4 linked regions of the Arabidopsis thaliana genome follow. The protein of the gene in region 4 interacts with the protein of the main gene of each other region in a pairwise test. Each region holds a gene or a part of one and is shown on either strand. Other genes may lie near its edges.

What was found.
Region 1: the proteins of KIN10 (region 4) and KAI2 interact in binary tests that used the Arabidopsis thaliana proteins (3 or more experiments, as listed by UniProt).
Region 2: the proteins of KIN10 (region 4) and AT1G22160 interact in binary tests that used the Arabidopsis thaliana proteins (3 or more experiments, as listed by UniProt).
Region 3: the proteins of KIN10 (region 4) and PANK2 interact in binary tests that used the Arabidopsis thaliana proteins (3 or more experiments, as listed by UniProt).

The regions. Positions count from the first base shown.
Region 1 is NC_003075.7:17,616,145-17,620,546, forward strand, and holds KAI2 (alpha/beta-Hydrolases superfamily protein), read right to left. Parts: upstream 2,513-4,402; 5' UTR 2,220-2,512; coding exon 1,852-2,219; intron 1,346-1,851; coding exon 901-1,345; 3' UTR 515-900; downstream 1-514. Other genes in the region: AT4G37480 (Chaperone DnaJ-domain superfamily protein), read left to right, coding at 3,117-3,440, 3,573-4,402.
Region 2 is NC_003070.9:7,821,139-7,824,503, forward strand, and holds AT1G22160 (senescence-associated family protein (DUF581)), read left to right. Parts: upstream 1-1,927; 5' UTR 1,928-2,099; coding exon 2,100-2,395; intron 2,396-2,488; coding exon 2,489-2,636; 3' UTR 2,637-2,833; downstream 2,834-3,365. Other genes in the region: SULTR1;3 (sulfate transporter 1;3), read left to right, coding at 63-206.
Region 3 is NC_003075.7:15,537,949-15,545,878, reverse strand, and holds the start of PANK2 (pantothenate kinase 2), read left to right. Parts: upstream 1-1,924; 5' UTR 1,925-2,163; coding exon 2,164-2,419; intron 2,420-2,588; coding exon 2,589-2,804; intron 2,805-2,923; coding exon 2,924-2,976; intron 2,977-3,230; coding exon 3,231-3,347; intron 3,348-3,649; coding exon 3,650-3,769; intron 3,770-3,894; coding exon 3,895-3,989; intron 3,990-4,065; coding exon 4,066-4,159; intron 4,160-4,285; coding exon 4,286-4,417; intron 4,418-4,585; coding exon 4,586-4,698; intron 4,699-4,787; coding exon 4,788-4,980; intron 4,981-5,689; coding exon 5,690-5,898; intron 5,899-6,016; coding exon 6,017-6,061; intron 6,062-6,153; coding exon 6,154-6,202; intron 6,203-6,319; coding exon 6,320-6,402; intron 6,403-6,554; coding exon 6,555-6,671; intron 6,672-6,741; coding exon 6,742-6,805; intron 6,806-6,923; coding exon 6,924-7,070; intron 7,071-7,163; coding exon 7,164-7,322; intron 7,323-7,449; coding exon 7,450-7,533; coding exon of another isoform or gene 7,534-7,539; and 4 more. Other genes in the region: AT4G32190 (Myosin heavy chain-related protein), read right to left, coding at 1-478, 765-827. UniProt on the Arabidopsis thaliana protein: Catalyzes the phosphorylation of pantothenate the first step in CoA biosynthesis. May play a role in the physiological regulation of the intracellular CoA concentration. Functionally redudant with PANK1.
Region 4 is NC_003074.8:30,667-36,398, reverse strand, and holds KIN10 (SNF1 kinase homolog 10), read left to right. Parts: upstream 1-1,911; 5' UTR 1,912-2,255; coding exon 2,256-2,321; intron 2,322-2,418; coding exon 2,419-2,611; intron 2,612-2,735; coding exon 2,736-2,920; intron 2,921-3,022; coding exon 3,023-3,205; intron 3,206-3,297; coding exon 3,298-3,429; intron 3,430-3,545; coding exon 3,546-3,731; intron 3,732-3,822; coding exon 3,823-3,912; intron 3,913-4,021; coding exon 4,022-4,105; intron 4,106-4,178; coding exon 4,179-4,316; intron 4,317-4,401; coding exon 4,402-4,638; intron 4,639-4,848; coding exon 4,849-4,962; 3' UTR 4,963-5,218; downstream 5,219-5,732. Other genes in the region: HYP1 (hypothetical protein 1), read left to right, coding at 1-185, 272-547, 844-1,077, 1,258-1,386; AT3G01085 (Protein kinase superfamily protein), read right to left, coding at 5,577-5,587. UniProt on the Arabidopsis thaliana protein: Catalytic subunit of the probable trimeric SNF1-related protein kinase (SnRK) complex, a central regulator of cellular energy homeostasis, which, in response to seemingly unrelated darkness, sugar and stress conditions, activates energy-producing pathways and inhibits energy-consuming processes.

The sequences.
Region 1 (4,402 bases), on a different chromosome or scaffold from region 4:
GTATTTGACTTTTTTTTTGGGTAGGCTAATCATAGTATTTGACTAGTGATGAAGAAATAATATTGTACCAAATGATATTTAAATTTCAATAATAAAATAATTTTAAGAAAATAAATAGAAGTTTTATATAAAGTGAATTATAAAATGGAAGTTTAATCATAGTATTGACTAGTAAGAAGCAATACAATATTTACCATTTTGTTTTGTATCACTAATTTTTTAAAGCTATTTACTTACCAATCTATAACTAATTTCATAAACAACAAATCGAATAAAATCTGAGCAGGCGCGTCAATAAAATTTGAAAGTTATTAGTGATAAATGATAATATAGAAAACAATATCTTTTGCACCGCATCCCTATAATAACATCAAACAAATCCATAATTTCATAAGCAAACAAACCTAACAAAATATGACTTAACTCCATCCTAATTCAAAACCCTAAATTTTCATTTTACTTTGTTTAAAACTTGGCTAATTTTTGTTCACAAACAAACAAATTTCAAAACCATCACAATATGTATGTTTTATGGTTTGGATTACCCATCCATAAATGCAAACTCAATGCTAATTCCTAGTATCACATGTTAATTACTCTTCACACAGTATAGCACAAGCACTCTTGCAAAGTTGCAATAATTCACTATGGACCATCAATTACGAACATCACTATTACATCAAGCAATAATGAGCTCTGAGCAAAGCTGTGGACAAAAGACAGAGACTTTTCGTTAAACAAGATAAGAACAACAAAGATCAAGATACTCAAGATAAACGAATCAGAACCAAACGACAACGAAATAATGTTCTCAATAGACTAGACAGACATATCACATCAGATATTTTTTTTCAACTTTTCTTACATCGTTTAATAATTAACTAATTAAATCTCTTACAATCACATAGCAATGTCATTACGAATGTGACGGAGGATGACAGGAATAACAGAATCTGGTGAGCTAAGCTGAGGAAGATGACCATCAGAAGGAATAACCTCGACGACGGATTCACAGCCAAGATTGGCGTGAAGATACTCGGAGACAACGACTGGTACAGCTAAGTCCTTAACACTTTGGAGAATGTGACACGGAACAGTGACAAAAGGTAAGATCTGTCTCATGTCACTTTGGAAAATGGTCTGGCCGACGGAGAGAGCTATGTCGGGACGCATATTGAAGAGTGTTCTGCTGAATTCTTGAACGGCGATGGAGTCCATGTCGCCACCGACGGCGAGTGGAGCGAAACCTAAGCACCACGCTTTGTAGTTGCTTCGGATGGCTTCGAATAGTTGGTTTAAGTCTTCTTGTTCGAATCCACCTTGGTAATCAACATCGTTTACGTATCTATAAACGTACCAAAACAATATAATTTGATTATATATGTTTCTTTTGTCAGAAGAAAATTAAAATATATAATATACTGTGTGAGCACCGTTTCAACAATTTTTTTTAAAAAAAGTGTAAGTAACACCTCAGTAAAACCAAATAAAAAAAAACAAATAAACAAATGGGTATTTCATGATTTTTTGTTCATAATTTACGGATTTTTATTGAAATATATAATGAAATGCTTCACTGATTTTGAGAAATAGGATAATTCAGACAAGAGGATAAACAAAGAGGCACTTTGTCGAAATTATGTCAGAATGAGAAATAAATATTTCGAAATAATAGATAATTGTGTAAATTTAAGGACTTAAGATGATTTTTTTTTATTTAAATTGTAATGTTTAATAGTTTTTATGAAATCAGACAAGAGAAGGAACAGAGAAGCCCTTTTGTCTAAACTATGTCAGGATGAGATAAAAAGCAAAACATATTTCTATGTACAACTTGTGAAAAAGTTATACCTCGGAGAAGCAGAGATCATGACGATTTTGGAGAAGAGATCAGGACGGTTAAGAGAAGCCAAGACACCAATCATGGCAGAAACAGAGTGGCCAACAAAGATACAAGACTCAATCTTGAGATCTTCCAAGATTGCAATCAAATCGAAAGAGTAGCCTTCGAGATTTGAGTAACGATCGAAGTCGAAATAGTCAGGGTTGGTCGTACCGGCTCCCATGTTGTCGTAGAGGACGACGCGGTAATCGTCGACCAGATGTGGAACCAAGTGTTTCCATACTGACTGGTCCGTGCCGAACCCGTGACCTAACACGATCGTGGCTTCTCCTGAACCAATCACCTTCACGTTGTGAGCTTCTTCTACCACACCCATCTCTCTAAAGAAGATTCTTCTCTGGTTTTCTTCTTGGTACCTCTCTTAGTCAGTTCGTGGAGAAATTATGATATTTGTGTTGTTTTAGAGTGTTACGTATTATTCTTTATAAAAAAATTCGTATCTGTGGAAGAGGAAATAAATTATTTAAAATATCGCGATTTACAGGTGGCAAAAAAAGGTGAATGGAACCATGTTTGTTGGATTGTCAAACATCGCTATTCGTGATAATTTGTTTTTTGGAATCAAGCCCAAAATATTTTGGAACATTTAATGGAGTACATGACGTGGAGTTACTGACTTCTGTTCAACAATAAAATTGTTACATTGGGTTACAAATACATGAACCAATTATTTTTAATTTTGTGCATGAATTTCAACAATGCATTAATGCGAAAGAAAATTAGTTTCAATCATTCAAAGAGTGGCAGCAAATAGTCAAAAGCTGATATAATTATTATTTTAACAACACTAGTTAAATTTCGCATGTATACAACTTGCAATGAATATAGCATCTAAAAACCTCATAATATTTGTTTTTTTCTGCTTGACTTTAACTTGTCAGTACTTTTCGATCATTTAGAAGTTAGAAGACATTAATTATTCATGGAATGCCATGGTGAGTATACGACCACGTATTCACATCCACTTCCTCATCATTTTAAGAGTCAAAAATATCTGTGAGAGGATCCTGGCCCATTAAAATTCAAGGCCCATTTAGTGTAATATGGCTTCATGTTCTCTCTTTCCTAAGACCGTTTTTACTGTTGACCAATAAAGTCTGAACTCGTGATGACGTGGCGTGAAATCGAGAGACCCACGTGTCATCGGCGTGCCGTTATCCTCTTTCCACTTCCGGTCTCCGTTCCCACCTGAGTAAACCATACTGGTCGTGAAATGACGATTCTCGCCGGGTTGATACGCCGGCGTTTTAGTAGATTAGTTCCGGTTCAACTGAATTACGGTTTCGAACCGTCGCGAATTCTCTTTAACCCGAGTCAAGGAAGAACTCGGTTGCTGAGCGGCGAGGCTGAGTCCAATCGGAACGAGTTTCCGGTGGAGAACGCTTACGATATCTTGAATGTCTCCGAAACCAGCTCAATCGCAGAGATCAAAGCATCATTTCGCAGACTCGCCAAGGAGACTCATCCTGATCTGATCGAATCCAAGAAAGATCCATCAAATTCGAGACGATTCGTTCAGATTCTCGCTGCTTATGAGGTACAATGAAGAAAGCTTCACTCTTCACTCTTATGATTAGTTTCAAAATCGAAAATTTCAAGCTTTTCAAGCTTTTGTGATAGAGTTATAGCTTTAGAAGTGTCTGATGAATGATTTGTGGTGATGATACAGATTCTATCAGATTCTGAAAAGAGAGCACACTATGATAGATATTTGCTATCTCGGAGAATGGTAATGAAGAAGCACTCGGGACAAGGTTATATGATTCACAGGTATAAAACAGGATTGACATTGAGTCAAGAGATGGAAGTAGTTGAATGGTTAAAGTGGTATAGAGAAGCAATACATGATATAGTATTGGAGAAGAGAGTAGCAAATGGTACTGGTTACTTAGATGAACTTGAAGAAGATTTTTATTCAGCTATACGAGCGGCCTACTTTGGGCCTGATGTTGAATCTGTTGAGCTTCTTCCTGATTGTTTTGAAGCTGAGGAAAGGTCTGTGTATGATACACGAGAGGTTTTGCATTTGGTATCAGGACGGGATCTTTTTGGTATGGTTTCCTTGGTTGATAACTTCCTTGAGCTTTCTTCTGCTTGCTCAAAGAAATTGGCTTTGTCGTCGTTTATGGATTCGGACCTTGGTCAAGCAGTTGAGAAAGGCAACAATGACATGATGTCTGCTGAAAGGATTGGTCTTCAGATATCTCATATACAATCTTCAAGAAGTAAAAACCATGTTTCTGATGCGTATAAAGATATTCAGCTGCATGTATCTGGAAGAGTTGTTGCTACAGCCATTAGGGTTCCCCCAAAAGGGTATCATGAAAAGAAACAAATTGAGGGTGATCACGATCTTATACACGTTTTCCTCAATTCAGATGAAGGATCTAATCATGGCACTGAATCGCCTCCGGGAAATGAAAGTGGTGCCAGACTTCTTGTTGGAACTATAAGTGGTCTTGGGACAATCCCAGATGAAGGTTCATGTTATGTCTATGA
Region 2 (3,365 bases), on a different chromosome or scaffold from region 4:
TAGATTCTAAAGAAGTTATTATGAAACAGACTAACACTTCTTTTGGTTGTGTGCCAAAACAGTTGGTTCTAGCGAATCCAGGACCGCCGGTCATAAATAAGCTACATGTTTCTCACTTTGCGGACTTGATAGGACACGACAAAATCTTTCTGACGGTGGCTGAGGCCGTGGATTCTTGCTCCCCTAAACTGTCCGACGAGGTCTGATCCGGAGAAGAAGAATCTTGATGATGAAGCAAAATGATATAAAGTGTTGTATGTTGTATAGACTGAATTGAGTAGTCAGTGACTTTGCTCTGTTTATCTTTTATCTATCCCCAATCGTGTGACGTAGAGGTCAAGTGTAAAAGTTGACCTATATAGAGCTTTTTTTAGAGTCGTGATAAGCTTGGATTTACTGGATTAGTTTTCGTTATTGTTTTCAATAACTTTGAACTATAGAGATTATATAATAAGTTATAATATATAAACGAATAAAATCGGAACCCAAACATTAACATCTGATCAACGTAATGCAACGAGCGACTTTATTGCTACTATTATTGGTGGGGAAACCTTGACAAAACGTTTTGTGTTCAAGATTCGAACATTGAAAAAAAAAACAATGAAAACATTTCTCCGTAAATAATTATGTGTGGACCAGAAGTTGAAACCCACTTGTGTACACAATAAACTAGATTAAGACCTTTGTTTATTTAAAATAATAATGGCTTAGACGTCTAAGCGTTAGACGGTCGTTATCTAGATATCAATTTTCTTCATGTATTATTATCTAGTTGATAGACCTAGTTTGATGTTTTAGGTGCCTATTAGATACGTTTGGCAATCGATCTGTTTTTTTAAATATAAATTAACTATAAAATCATAAACCATTATATTTTAAACGAATTTGACTAAAACAATTTAACCACCGTGCAAATAGAATTATAAAACCGTCTGTAAAAAAAAAAAACTCACATCTCTTCTCGAAAACATTAATTGAGAAATAAAAATGGTACAAAACGTAAGATTTTGAGACCGACCATTTTGTACAATGTGCCAACTCTGTTGTACTGTAATCGAGTGTCCCCAAATGCACCAATCAAAACGAGTTAGCACTTAGCACTACTTGTTTTTTGTGCATATTTTTTATAACAAAAAACAAAAGATGCTAAGGACTATCAATCAATCAATGTTCCATCAAATGATAATAATAAAAAACTGTTTTGTTTTGTCATAAAATTTTGAAATGGTATTATAAATGGGAGGTCAAGTGATATTGAAATTTGGCTTGGGAAGTGGTGAAACGTTGGAGGCCCTTTTTACTATTGTAAAGAGACATATCGGTCACAGAAGTGGACAATGTAGCCCAGAAGTTAGGAGCTATAATACAACATTTTCACTTTATTTCTCATCCATTTTTAAAACTTTTCACTTTTTTTCCTCAAATTTTACTATTTTATATAAATGTCATCGATGGATAAACTAATGAGTGATTCAGCCAAATATTTTGAATAACTTTATTTTTTTATTTTTTTATTTTTTTTATTTTTTTATTTTTTTATTTTTTTTATTTTGAATAACTTGAGTTTAACTAAGATTTCAGATGATTTTAAGTGAATTTATGGAACAAAGATTTGCTAATTTATTAGTTTAATAGCCTTACATTTTAAGACATATCTATAAATAAAATAACTAATAACAAGTATTTAGCAAAAAAACAAACTAATAACAACAAGTTTTTTAAGAGTTTAAATTTGCTTGATTGTTATTCTAAATAATACAATTTCAATTGTATGATTGAATACACCTACACAAAATAATTGATTTAAGAAAAAGAAGAAGACAAAATAATTTGTGAAAGAAGAAGAAAAAAAAAGCAATAATAACGAATAAAATAAACACTTAAAGAATCGGAATCATGACGTGTCGTAATTAAAACGGGAATAGAATCGATCAGACAAACTCAACGGCTCAGATTAACTCCTCAGTTTATGGCTCTTCTTTTATCTTCTCTGTCTCCTCTTTTCTCACTTCCCTCTTTCTCTCTTTCACTTTGCTCTGTTCACTCAGAGCATCAAATAAACAAAAGAGAGAAACCAAAACCACACAAGACTAACGATGTTGCTAGGGAAGAGACAGAGACCACCAATAAAGAGAACCACGAGTCTATCTGAGATTAAGTTCGATTTGAATCAACCTAGCGAACAAGAACCATCCGATCATCAGATTCAGCTTGTGAACGTTGATGAACATCGTCAAGTTCATCAAAGATTGTTAGATCAACGGCTTTTAGCGATGGTCTCACCAAGAGGTACACAGAGAAGACACTCAAGTGATTATTCTGAAGATTTTCTAAGATCTTGCTCTCTTTGTAAACGTCTTCTTGTTCATGGCCGTGACATCTATATGTATAGGTATGAGTTTAGGACCTAAAGATTAATCTCATGGTTTTGGTTTGATTAGATATGTAATTAACGATTTGGTTTTGGTTGTTAAATTATGAGCAGAGGAGATAGAGCGTTTTGTAGTTTAGAGTGCAGGCAACAACAAATTACAGTGGACGAGAGGAAGGAGAAGAAGAAAGGTTCGGTGAGGTCCACCATCGTCGTCGCCACCGGAACCACCACAGGAGAGAGAGTTTCCGCCGCCGTGTAGGTCTCTTTTACATATGTTATATATTATCGGTAATGATTGTATTATATGGTTCTTGTTTTATGTATAAAAAGCATTGAGCACTATTGACTGTGATTAACCATGTTAATCATCCTTTAAACCTTGCTTTTGATCTTAAGAATTATTGTATTATGCATATTAATTAGATTTGTGTTCTACTGATTATTCTACTTCTAACTATCTGATTAATTACCATTAAAAGATAAAGATTTATTGTGTGGAGATTAGATATATCACACCATTTCAATTCTTTTTACAGTCAGTAATTGACAAATCAAGAAAATTCGAAATCGTATTTGTGAAAATTGTATACCAACTTAATATATTGATATACAAGTTTGTACCTTATGTACTGTGGATTTCATGTATATCAACCCACCAAAAATATATATTTACCGTACTGTTTTAACTTCATGCTTACTTTCGAATATAAGGAATTAAGGATGATCCAATAGAATTTCTTCATTTTCTGTTGTATTGAAACAAAAAAAAATGAATATTTGAATATGATTTTGGTCAAGTAAGGAATCTCATACCTATTCAGCCTAGCATTGACTGGTCCCTCATTGTAACATTTTAAGAGATTCTTACTTTTTTGCATGTCTCAGTTTTGATAGATTCCTAATGGCTAATGCTCTCCTTTTGCTTCATAAAAGAATTCTTGTTTTAAGCAAAATATTCTTTAGGAAAAACCAACCAATAAGTTCATAA
Region 3 (7,930 bases), on a different chromosome or scaffold from region 4:
CTTGAGAAGCTAACTCCACATTTGCCCGCTTCAGCTCCTCTTGTAGACTCTCATGCTTCAACGAAGCTTCAGAGATTGTTTTCTCACGTTTTTCTAACTCCTCCTTTGCCCGGTTAAGTTTATTTTTGTCAGAGAGAAGCTTCCTCTCAGCATCGTGCAGGTCCTCTTCCCTTTTCAACAAGGCCACTAGCGCAGCCTCAAGGTCAGACTCAAGCACGCCAAGGTTTGAATAGGGGAGATCATCATCGTCAGGATAAACCGAGTGTTGATTGGTTTGTCTCTCCAATCTGTGTGTCCGAGCAAATAATTTATCGAAAAGAACATTTGCAGACTCAGCTGAGCCATTGTCGTTGATGTTGGGTCTTGTATTGTGCAAGACTGATTGAACACTCAGTAAAAGATGTCTCTTTCTCCTTGTAATGCTCGGGAATGCGACAAGACTCTTCTGCTTATGGTTTACTACTCTTGTCAAACAATACTGCATAAGAAAAAATCATATGGCCGACATCAAAATCAAAATCAAAAGTTTGATTATTTTGGACAGACACTAATCAATATGGATGCAAGCAAACTTATTCAAATTAAAGGAACAGTATTGAAATTTGCAATCTTTTTAAGCCAGAACAAGGAACAATCAGAACAAGGCCAGCAAAAGTCAAAAATTCAAGTTTGATAAAGTTAAGAGTAAGTAAAGTGTTGTGAATCAGCAGCGATATATAAATGAAAATATAGGGGATAATATAGAGAAAGGTAAGGAAACAAACATCGCAGGGAGAGGGAGAGGAGAAGGAAGCAAGATTCAAGCGAATGGCCTGAGAGAAACCCATCCTGAGAGCATAATTATGCAATCGCCATGGAGCTTAAAGACGGAACAAAACCCAAATCCACTGGATCAAATTTAACAAGTGGGCGTTTTGGAGAAGAATGCTTACGAGAACAAATCCAAGGAAGAAGAAGAAGAATCTAGCTAGGGAATGGATATTGTTACAAAATTCTTTTACCAAAAAAAAGGATACAAAATAATAAATAGAGGCTCGCGTTGGCTTGCGAGTTGTGGTCGCCAGTAAACTCGAAAGTCCTTTTTGCCCTTATTCATAAGATGCATGTCGGCATTGTCCAAATACACGGCCAAGGGATCTATTTGTAAAAATAATGGACTCTTCTTAATTACGTACGTGGTAACGGTTTTCTAGTATGACAATTCTCTTTCTTTCGCGTAGTCGGCTAGTCGCGTGGTTAGAAATGCTTACACACTAAAGAGTATGTTATATTAAACTGGAATATAAATTTAAGAAACTGAATAAAAGTCATCAGGCCCATGACATTGGCCCAATAGACCCAATGAAAAACCAATCCATCAGCTAGTTTTCTTAACATATCAACCCAACGAGGTTGTATCTTGTTACATTTGCAAGTGAACTTTTTTATCATTAAAAAATGTAACAATGGTATTTTTGGTTTAGTGTTCCTAAAATATTTGTTTCCCACATAAGATTTTATCTACACCAAATAGTCCAATTGTATAATATAATCCATCTTCACAAAAGCATTTTAAAGGATATCCTACCTTCTAAATTCCGGCGAAAAATATCTTAAATCTGAAAAAGTGATTTATCGTGAATAGTGTAATGTTAGCAAAATCTTAAACTTCAAAAAATCGTAAAACATAAAGAATTAAGTGTGACGGATTAATTAAGATATCGAAACCAACACAGTAATCCTCATCTATGACTTGGAAAAACTCATAAGTGGCAAGTGGAGTTCGAGTTTGGTCATTATTGTGAAACACCAAACCTAATCCACTTACAAATTCATTAAAAACTACAAATTTGTGTGGTAGTTTTTTTTTTTTTTTGGGAAATTTATGTGGTAGTTAATTAGTTAACAAACAATTATATATAAATACAAATTTTGTTTGGAGTTAGGTCCGCTTCAGCCTGCTTAAGCGATTCTAAGCTTAGTCGTATAATCGTATTAGCAAAAGCTCGAACAGTTTACTTCTTTACCCTGGAAAGTCTTATCATCATCAGTTCGTGTCGTTTGACTTTTTAAACTTTGCAAGGAAGGGTTTTGTGGTGGTTTGGGAGAATTAGGCAATTGTTGGTGATCCGATTTTTCTGGGTTTGGTTGGGTTCCTTTTTTATTTTTTAATAAAAAAAAAAAATGGCGGGTCAAGAGGATGAGTATGATCCAATTCTTGACAATAAAAGAGAAGCTGAAGCAAAATCTCAGGTTTCTGTTGCTGCTGATAAAAATATGGCTCCTTCTACTTCTGGTACTCCGATCCACAGATCAGGCTCTAGACCTCAGCTTGATCTAAGCAAAGCCGAAATTCAGGGGAACCTCGAGGAGAGAGATCCCACCATTTTATTGCCTAATCAGTCTGATGATATCTCTCATTTGGCTCTTGATATCGGAGGTGACAACAAATTTCACTTCTTTTTTATTTTCACTGTAGTTGACCATTGATCTAGTGCTTGTGGTTCTTCCAGTAGTATTTGGTGTCACTTCTTGGTTTTGGCAATTTCGATGTTTATTTCTTAAGTGCTATGTTTGAGAATTATGAACCCTTTTAAGTTTATTTGCAGGTTCTTTGATAAAGTTGTTGTATTTTTCACGACATGAGGACTACTCTAATGATGATGATAAGCGGAAGAGGACGATCAAGGAGAGATTGGGTATTACCAATGGCAACTTGAGAAGTTATCCTGTTCTTGGTGGTAGACTTCATTTTGTCAAGTTTGAGACTCACAAAATTAATGAGTGCTTGGATTTTATTCATTCCAAGCAGCTTCATCGCCGAGGTATTATTACTTTTATCCTTTTCAGTGTATGAAATGTTGTTTTGTATTATAAGATCAATTTCTGGTGATTTACTCTTCAATTCGTCTTCTTCTCCATTTCTTTTCAACTAAATGAATAGATCCTTATCCTTGGAGTTCAAAGACCTTGCCTTTGGGGACTGGTGTTATCAAGGTAATCGCATTTTTATGACTTGATTGTTTTTATCTTTATCACCTTTTGAGGCTCCTTCTGCATATATTTAGCTCGCTCTTTCATTTGAGATACCAGATAACATTTAAGACCCTCATAATTATTGTTTTTAGGTGAAACGTTTTTTATATTTATAAGTCTTGTATATCCATGTAATGTGATTTGCTGATTCGGCTTTGATTAGTTGATTATTACTTGTTTTAAACATATGAGTCAAGCGTACGTGTATCTTTCAGGTCACAGGTGGCGGGGCATTTAAATTTGCAGACTTGTTCAAGGAACGGCTGGGCGTTAGTATTGAGAAAGAAGATGAAATGCATTGTCTTGTTTCTGGAGCAAATTTTTTGCTCAAGGTAAGACCTTTCTTTATGCAACATTCCATTTATGTTGTCTCTGCATACATATTTGTACCTTTTATTACTAGCACTTGCGAAATAGAAACGTAAAGACAGACTCTCATTATATGTGACCGGTTGATTTGTTTGTTGAAGTTCTGAGTCACATGAGAGAAAAACAGCTGGATATCTGTATGTGTGTTTTACTATACTTAAAGTTCTGCTAAGACTATTGAAATTTTGCAATTAGTCTACTTTTCTTTTGTCTATTTGCATGTGTATGTTTTGAATTTATTCTTAGTTTCTTGCATTTTCTGCAGGCTATTCGACATGAAGCCTTTACGCACATGGAGGGTGAGAAAGAATTTGTACAGATAGATCCCAATGACTTGTATCCTTATCTTCTTGTGAACGTTGGATCTGGTGTTAGCATAATCAAGGTATTTGTTTACGTTTGCTACTTTTTTCACAATCAGTGTGTGTTTGGCTCCTTGAACTTCTGAATTGGGAGGTCAGAAGATTGCATGGACCTGTAGATTTCATGCAATGGCTTTTCAAAGTATAGGTTGATGGTGAAGGAAAGTTTGAACGTGTGAGTGGAACTAATGTTGGCGGTGGTACCTATTGGGGCTTAGGAAGACTTCTAACGAAGTGCAAGAGGTTACAGAGCTCTGATTTTACATTATTTCTTTATATTTTTGTTTCCTATACCTTACACTGTTTTCTTTTGTTTCAGTTTTGATGAATTGCTAGAACTCAGCCAAAAGGGAGATAATAGTGCCATTGACATGCTCGTTGGTGATATTTATGGTGGCATGGATTACTCCAAGGTAGGAGTCAACTTTGCATCAAACTACATGTGATCTCATTTGTTATAGGATGTGACTACTCTCCTATTGAAACTCAGAATGCTTTATTACTACTGTTCTAGTAATTCTCATTAATCAATCATACAGATTGGTCTCTCTGCTTCAACAATAGCTTCTAGTTTTGGCAAGGCGATATCTGAAAATAAGGAACTGGACGATTACAGACCTGAAGATATTTCCTTGTCTCTGTTGCGGATGATTTCATACAATATTGGGCAGGTATGCATTGGCGAGTCCAAAGGATTCAACGAAGTTCTTAAGCAAGAATAAGCCTAAATGTTTCTCATTTTTATTCCTAAGCATGATTCCATTTGGAAGTTTTGATCAGTGAATGTGATAAGTTATTGAGAATATTATGAGTTTCTGATTTGTTTTGTTGCTGTGTAGATATCGTACTTGAATGCCCTTCGCTTTGGGTTGAAGCGAATATTTTTTGGAGGATTTTTCATAAGGGGTCATGCATATACCATGGATACAATTTCATTTGCTGTACATTTCTGGTAACTTCACTTGTAAACTTGACCTAGATGTGATATGCGTACTCACCTTCTTCACTCAAACTTATTTATTTATTGCTTGACTACACTAGGTCTAAGGGAGAGATGCAAGCTATGTTCTTGAGACATGAAGGTTTTCTGGGTGCTCTAGGTGCGTTCATGAGCTATGAGAAGCACGGATTGGATGATTTAATGTCCCATCAGTTGGTTGAGAGGTTCCCAATGGGTGCACCATATACTGGAGGAAATATTCACGGACCACCACTCGGTGATTTGGACGAGAAGGTACGAAATTTAGCTTACGCTTTACCAAAGTCTCAGTTTGTTCTATTTAATACTTTGAAACTGACAGCCAAAAAAATTCCGTAATGACATGGGACTTCTCAAAATATGAAAGTGCGGGAATATGATACCATTTATGCCTTGTGCTGGGTAAAGTGTATGCTGGTTACCATTATAGTATTCTTTAGGCAGTTGCATTGTAGAATATGCTTTTCTTGAAATTGGAATCTTTTGGCAAATGTTTGATCTTCCATGGACTTACTGAATATTATGGCCGAAGGAGATGGTCGGATACTTTGAGACTGTTGAAGTGCACTATGACTTGTTCCTTTCCATGGTTTGTGTGCTGACTGAATTTTTTTGGATACTCAATCATTAATCTTGATGATTAGTCATAGTTTATGCTTGTATGGATATTTTTCGCTGTGAAGTTTACTGGTTCTTTCCTTTTTATATACAAAGTATCATTTTGTGTGACAAACGAATAATAGAAAGCAAGAGTAAGAAAAACCTCGTTTTCAAATCTGTCACAGTTATATTCTCTTTTCTTTTATGTATATATCAAAAACGAGATGGAATCAAGTGCTTTTTTCCCACTTTCCTTGTGCTAATGGTAGAGAGATATCACATCAACTAGTTATAAGTGTTGTGTGTCTTGACTCTGTTCTAGATAAGTTTTGGAGTTTAAAAAGGCTTTCCTGGTTGCTTTCAGATTTCGTGGATGGAGAAGTTTGTGCGTAGAGGAACTGAAATAACTGCTCCTGTACCAATGACTCCATCAAAAACGACTGGGCTTGGAGGGTTTGAAGTTCCATCATCCAGAGGTAGTGCTTTAAGATCTGACGCCAGTGCTTTAAATGTTGGTGTTCTCCATCTTGTGCCCACATTGGAGGTGTTCCCATTACTAGCTGATCCGAAAACGTAAGTGGCATGTCCCTGAGTAATGTATTGAGCTTGTACATATATGTCCTGGTTTGCTGCTTGTTCATGATTTTGGAGATTTTATGTTCGTGTGTTTAATCGATTTGTTTTACCCCAGGTATGAGCCTAACACGATTGATCTATCAGATCAAGGCGAACGAGAGTGAGTTATAAGTCGATGCTGATCTTCCAAACACTGGTTTTATTTGATGAAGTCACTTTTTCTTATATTGTTTATTTTCTGGTGGGGTATAGGTACTGGCTCAAAGTTTTGTCCGAGCATTTGCCAGACCTCGTTGATACGGTAACTGTTAAAGTTAACACATAGGATTTCTTTTCCATCTTCAGTAATGTTACTTTTTGGGTGGTGAAGATTCTTTAAGGCCTGGTACGTACTATTATTCTATGGACATGATTATAGGCTGTAGCAAGTGAAGGAGGAACCGAGGATGCGAAAAGGCGGGGTGATGCTTTTGCTCGTGCTTTTTCTGCTCATTTGGCAAGGTTTGGTTCATCACAACAGATACCTCTCTGTCAAGTCAAGGCTGTGCAATTTTGACCACAATCTATCAAACAGAAAATTCATAGTACAGCGCTTCAAGAAAAGCTTGTTTTTTCTGTGCTTTGCCTTTCACTGACAATTTTTTTGGTTGTAGATTAATGGAGGAGCCAGCTGCATATGGAAAGCTGGGGCTGGCAAATCTCTTGGAACTTAGGGAAGAATGCTTAAGAGAATTCCAGTTTGTTGATGCCTATAGAAGCATCAAGCAAAGGTAAAAGATAGTCTTATCTCTCCCCTGCTTTGAGTTGCTCTTATGCTCTCTCTTTCTTCGAAATTGATAGGGAGAACGAGGCATCACTTGCTGTTTTACCTGATTTACTTGAGGAGCTTGATTCGATGAGCGAGGTCTGTGACCTTTAACCTTCCTCTCTTTGTAGGTTTATGGTTTGCTACTAAACGTTTCAGTGCTATACATGAGACAACTTTTCTTACTTGGTGTTTCAATTGTGCTCGGATTTTTCAGGAGGCAAGGTTGCTTACACTTATAGAAGGTGTTCTTGCTGCAAACATATTTGACTGGGGATCTCGAGCATGTGTGGATCTATATCACAAAGGAACCATTATTGAAATATACAGAATGAGTCGCAACAAGATGCAGAGACCGTGGAGGGTGAGAGACAAGACCACCCTTTTTCCCCGCTGAGGTTACTTTTTCCTAACTGTTAATTTGAAGCTGGAAATCTTTTTTGGTCCGTAAAATCAGGTAGACGATTTTGATGCTTTCAAAGAAAGGATGCTTGGATCTGGAGGTAAGCAGCCTCATCGACATAAAAGAGCATTACTTTTTGTTGATAACTCGGGAGCAGATGTCATTCTTGGGATGCTTCCTCTTGCTCGAGAGTTTCTCCGTCGAGGGACTGAAGTACGTGTCTCTCTCTAGCTCTTCCTATAGTAATCTTCTCTTCACAAAATCAAATGCACAGACCAAATGATTTCATTGTGAAATTAGTTGAGGAAACACTAAACAAAATGTTATTATGATTCCCCAGGTTGTTCTAGTGGCAAACTCTCTTCCTGCTCTTAACGACGTGACCGCTATGGAACTGCCTGATATAGTCGCTGGGGCTGCTAAGGTTTAACTTTCGATTCTGTGCAGTGTTTATGATGTTCTTTCATGTAACTAACTCTTTTGTTCGGTCTTTACTCTTGAAGCACTGTGACATCTTGAGGAGAGCGGCAGAAATGGGAGGCTTACTTGTGGATGCGATGGTAAATCCAGGGGATGGATCAAAGAAGGATTCAACGTCAGCACCATTGATGGTTGTTGAAAATGGATGTGGAAGTCCTTGTATCGACCTCAGACAAGTCAGCTCTGAGCTTGCAGCCGCTGCCAAAGACGCTGATCTTGTATCTACAAAACCTTCTCTGTTTTCTACCTGACATAAACTTCAAACACATCAAAAAAGAGAAGCTTTGTTCTTTATTTGATGTTTAACAATATTGCAGGTTGTCTTGGAAGGTATGGGAAGA
Region 4 (5,732 bases):
CCTCAATGCAAGGATTCATTTCTCATAGCCAGATTGAGAAATCTGCATGTATCAAGCTTCTAATCTTTACTGTATGGAACAGTTTCTTTGCAAATGTACTGTCCGGATCTGCCCTTTATCGTGTTAATGTGTTCCTTGAACCTAAGACTATTCCTCGTGTGCTTGCTGCAGCTGTGCCAGCACAGGTAAAGAACACAAAATTCAGTATTGAGGTTTCCGGAATTCCCTTTTCGTACCACGAGTCATGTTTATTGTTTAATCTTTGGTGTAGGCATCGTTCTTTGTATCTTATGTTGTGACCTCTGGATGGACTGGTTTATCATCAGAGATCCTCCGTTTGGTTCCTCTTCTTTGGAGTTTCATAACGAAACTTTTCGGCAAGGAAGATGACAAAGAATTTGAGGTTCCTTCAACTCCTTTCTGCCAAGAAATCCCAAGGATTCTATTTTTTGGACTCCTCGGTATAACTTACTTCTTCCTTTCGCCATTGATACTGCCTTTCTTGTTGGTCTACTATTGTCTTGGATATATCATCTACCGCAACCAGGTAACGGAACCAATCTCACTCCTAAGTATAATTCTCTGTTGATCTCTGATAAAATCATATAGGAATCAGCTACACATATTTTCGTTATATGGAATCTCACTTTTATCTTCTCTTTATATGTGATCCCTTTTCTAAATTCTCGAATAGCATCTTTAAACCGAAAGTATTTTTTGGAGCTTCAGTCATGACATAAACGTTACATCAAGAATCCATTTTCTCGTCACATAATTCTTTTTCTTCTTAATGAATCCATTGCAACTTGTTGATAGAAATAACATCACCTTTTTGTGCTGCAGCTCCTAAACGTATATGCGGCCAAGTATGAAACTGGTGGAAAGTTTTGGCCAATAGTTCACAGCTATACTATCTTCTCTTTGGTACTAATGCACATTATTGCAGTCGGATTATTCGGGCTTAAAGAGCTTCCAGTGGCATCTTCTTTAACAATTCCCCTTCCGGTTCTCACGGTCCTTTTCAGCATTTACTGCCAAAGACGGTTTTTACCAAATTTCAAATCTTATCCTACCCAGGTAAAGGCTTTAGAGAAATAGTTACTCATATTTTTGATCCAATGGAAGAAAAATATGGCTAGATAATCTTTTATTCCTAACCTAAACAAAACAAACAGAACATGATGCATAGTCCTTTATTACATTACAGCATCTACTCTAAACCTTTATATGGTGATGATGGATGTTTTACTTTTGCAGTGTCTGGTAAACAAAGATAAAGCAGACGAGAGAGAGCAAAACATGTCTGAATTCTATTCGGAACTCGTTGTTGCTTACCGAGATCCTGCACTTTCGGCATCACAGGACTCGAGAGATATCTCACCTTGAGATCACCTTTTTACTTGAGCTATTGAAGTTTGCTTATGTTGAAGCTGTTGGTTTACTATACCTGGTGCAATCCATGAAAGAACACACTAAACCGGTTGTCTTGTACATTGGGTCTTAACCGAGAATCAAGCGGTTTTTGTCTTGTACATTTGCTTACACTTGGCTTGTGTAAAAAAGAAAAAAAGTTTATGTCAATGTATCTCTCTAAACCGGTTTAAGACGGTACAAACTTTTTGAAAGATGCCAAAACAAAACGGTGGTTAATAATTTTACCACAGAGAATATTTAGCAAAAAGATGATGACTAGATGCCACGTCCGCATGGGGGTATATATTGTAATTAGTCGTAACTCTGGGGGTAATTTAGTTAAAGATTGATCCGTTTATGGAACCAAAAATCAAATAATTTCGTCTTTGATACTTGCTTGCGCCTTATAGGCTACAGGAGCGAGAGCAATGAAAGCGAGAGGAAGAATCTATCAATAATTTCTGGGTTTAAGCTGATCTCTGGATCTTCCTCAATTTTACTTTTTCAGCTCAGAAAATTTTGGGACTTTTTTTTGCTGCATTTTTTGGTTCCGAATTTTCTCCTCCGCCTTTTTTAATTTTTGGTAAGTTTCGATATCTCTCAATTTTCTTATTTCGGAAATAAAAAAAATTCTCGCCCTTTTGCAAATCAATGGATTGATCTTGAAATCGTCATTTCTGAATCGGGTACGAGAGATCCAGTAATCCTCTGCGATTGAATTATTATTAGGGTTCATATTCCGAATTGGGGATAGTCTGAAAATTGCTATTTTAAGCTCTCTTCTTAGTGTTGGTTGGTTTATTCTGGATAATAAAAGGGATCCTAATTCTCGCTAAATTCTCATGTTCAAACGAGTAGATGAGTTTAATTTAGTTTCTTCAACGATCGATCACAGAATCTTCAAAAGTGTAAAAATTACTTGCTTTTTGTTCCTATTACTCTTTTGCAGTTTGTTTTGTGTGTTGTGTACTAGTAGATCTAATATCTCTCTCTCTTTTTTTGTAGAGAATGGATGGATCAGGCACAGGCAGTAGAAGTGGGGTAGAATCGATTCTACCAAATTACAAGCTTGGGAGAACTCTTGGTATTGGTTCCTTTGGTAGGGTGAAGATAGCTGAGCATGCATTGACAGGACATAAGGTTGCTATCAAGATCCTCAATCGTCGCAAAATCAAGAACATGGAGATGGAGGAGAAAGGTACAAGTTTTGTTTTGTGTATCCATTCCACCTTAGTTGTGACTTCACGGTACTCTTGGAATATATAAATATATAGCTTCTTTTTCGTCTTCCTTCCTTTGAACTTATTTGGTCTTTGATGCAGTGAGGAGAGAGATCAAAATCTTGAGACTATTTATGCATCCTCACATCATCCGTCTCTATGAGGTTATAGAGACTCCCACAGATATTTATCTTGTCATGGAGTATGTGAACTCTGGTGAGCTATTTGACTATATTGTTGAGAAGGGTAGATTGCAGGAGGATGAGGCGAGGAACTTTTTTCAGCAGGTATGTTTTTATTTTATTTTATCAACATGTAACTTTCCAAGCAACCATTCGATTTTATATTATATTTGAGAGTTAAGAATTAGCTACTTGGCTTTGATGTAGATAATATCAGGAGTGGAATACTGCCATCGAAACATGGTGGTTCACAGAGACCTCAAGCCTGAAAACTTGCTTTTGGACTCTAAATGCAATGTAAAGATTGCTGATTTTGGCCTGAGCAACATAATGCGAGATGGTCATTTTTTGAAGACAAGTTGTGGAAGTCCAAATTATGCCGCTCCAGAGGTAAGTGCTTCAGCCCTCAGGTATCTGAGGAATACTATAATTAGGCTTGTTTCAAATGATAGGTTATAGTCGAGATCTATAAATTGTTTCAGGTAATTTCGGGCAAGTTATATGCTGGCCCTGAAGTAGATGTCTGGAGCTGTGGTGTGATACTCTACGCTCTTCTCTGTGGGACGCTTCCATTTGATGATGAAAACATTCCCAACCTTTTTAAGAAGATAAAGGTACATTCTATTACTCCTCCTCTTTCGTCTATTTGAACTAATGCTTGAATTTTTTATTTTATTTTTCGTATCACCCTTCGACTGTAACCTTTTTTTTTTCTCTTTTCGTCCTATAGGGAGGGATATACACATTACCTAGCCATTTATCTCCTGGTGCTAGAGATTTGATCCCCCGGATGCTTGTAGTTGACCCCATGAAACGAGTAACCATCCCTGAGATCCGGCAACACCCTTGGTTCCAAGCTCATCTTCCGAGGTATTTAGCTGTTCCTCCTCCAGATACTGTGCAACAGGCAAAAAAGGTAAGCCTAACGTATCTACTCTTATTTTCATTAGAGAAATCTCTATTCCCATTTTTCGATAAAGGCGTAAAAGCGCTGTCTTCATTTGTAGATTGACGAGGAGATTCTCCAAGAAGTTATCAATATGGGATTTGACAGAAACCACCTCATCGAATCGCTCCGCAACCGAACCCAGAATGATGTATGTGTTTCCCACCCACTTGTTCTTTTGCTGTTTCTTTCATTTCAAAGATTAAAAAAAATTCCATCAAAAGATCTTAAATACTGTATTCTTACCGACTGTCTTCCAGGGCACTGTGACGTACTATCTGATACTGGACAATCGTTTCCGTGCCTCTAGTGGTTATCTCGGGGCTGAGTTTCAAGAGACCATGGTTAGTCTTTTTTGTCCTTTTCGACTTTAGCAAAAGATCTTTGACGTAATGCTTCATTGTTTGATTTAATCAGGAAGGTACTCCCCGTATGCATCCAGCAGAAAGCGTTGCTTCACCTGTTAGCCATCGGCTTCCAGGACTGATGGAATATCAAGGAGTTGGCTTGAGATCTCAATACCCTGTTGAGAGAAAATGGGCTCTTGGACTTCAGGTTTTGATATTTTCTGTATTTATGGTATAAAGACTTCAGCTTTTGATATATATGTGATTAATATTGTAACAATTTGATCGCACAGTCTCGGGCTCATCCCCGTGAAATAATGACGGAAGTCCTGAAAGCCCTGCAAGATTTGAATGTATGTTGGAAGAAGATAGGGCACTACAACATGAAGTGCAGATGGGTTCCTAACAGCAGCGCAGATGGTATGCTCAGTAACTCGATGCACGATAACAACTACTTTGGAGACGAGTCCAGCATAATAGAGAACGAAGCAGCTGTTAAGTCGCCCAATGTTGTCAAGTTTGAAATTCAGGTAAATCCTCTTCTCCACTTCATGATACATATCGGTTTCCCGTACGACATTGTTTCTGATGTGTGATTTCGAGTGAAAGAAAGCTTTGTGTATTAGTGTCCATGGCCATTTTTGTAACTGAATTAGAACTAGAGTGAATCTTCATGAATCTAACTATCAATCAATATTTTCTGGGCTTGATGACGTTTGTTATTGTTGATGGTGAAACAGTTGTATAAAACTCGGGACGACAAGTATCTACTGGATTTGCAGAGAGTACAAGGTCCTCAGTTCTTGTTCTTGGATCTGTGTGCTGCTTTTCTTGCTCAGCTCCGAGTCCTCTGAATACTAAACCGGACCTCTTCAAGAATAATCCCCACTTATTCCTTTTTTTTTTTTTTTCTTATTCGTCTAAGAAATTATTTAGAAAACGTAACCCTTTTTTTCTTCTTCTCTTTCTTTCTATTTCTATATGCGTGCTCTACTCAAATACCTCTTTTAACTTAAATGTAAGACTGAGCAAGAGTAAAAAAAAGACACTTTGTACATAACTTGTAGTGCATCATGCCACCAAGATTGATTTTTGTTTTTGTTTACTCCATATTTCTTATGATTAAAATCAATAAGTTAAGGGAAAGACATTTTGACAAAAATTGAAGGAAAGATGTTTAAATTAGTTTCATTGAAAACAAATTAGCAAATTCAGAAGTAGTTGTTTTTGTTTCGTGTATTATTTGATGGGTCAATATTACACTATATTTTTTGTGTAAACAAATTAGCAAATTCAAAAATAGTTGTTTTTTGTTTTTGTCATCCTACTAATATTAAGACATTGAAAAACGAACATTTAGGATGAGCTTGATGTGTTTATTTCGAACTAAGATCCAAAAACTATACAAACTCAAAAACAAGCCCAAAAAGAATTTCAAAAGTTTCCAACGTGTGGTTTTACCTACCAGTTAATCTTCTCCTGCAAAAAAAAAAAAAACACATCAAGTGTGAGATAAACTCTCACAAAAATACAAGGAAATTTGTAATAATAATAAAAAAAGACACAATTATCTTTTGGTAAACCTGAAATTGAATAATTTCACACTGACTTGGGCTTTTTTTTT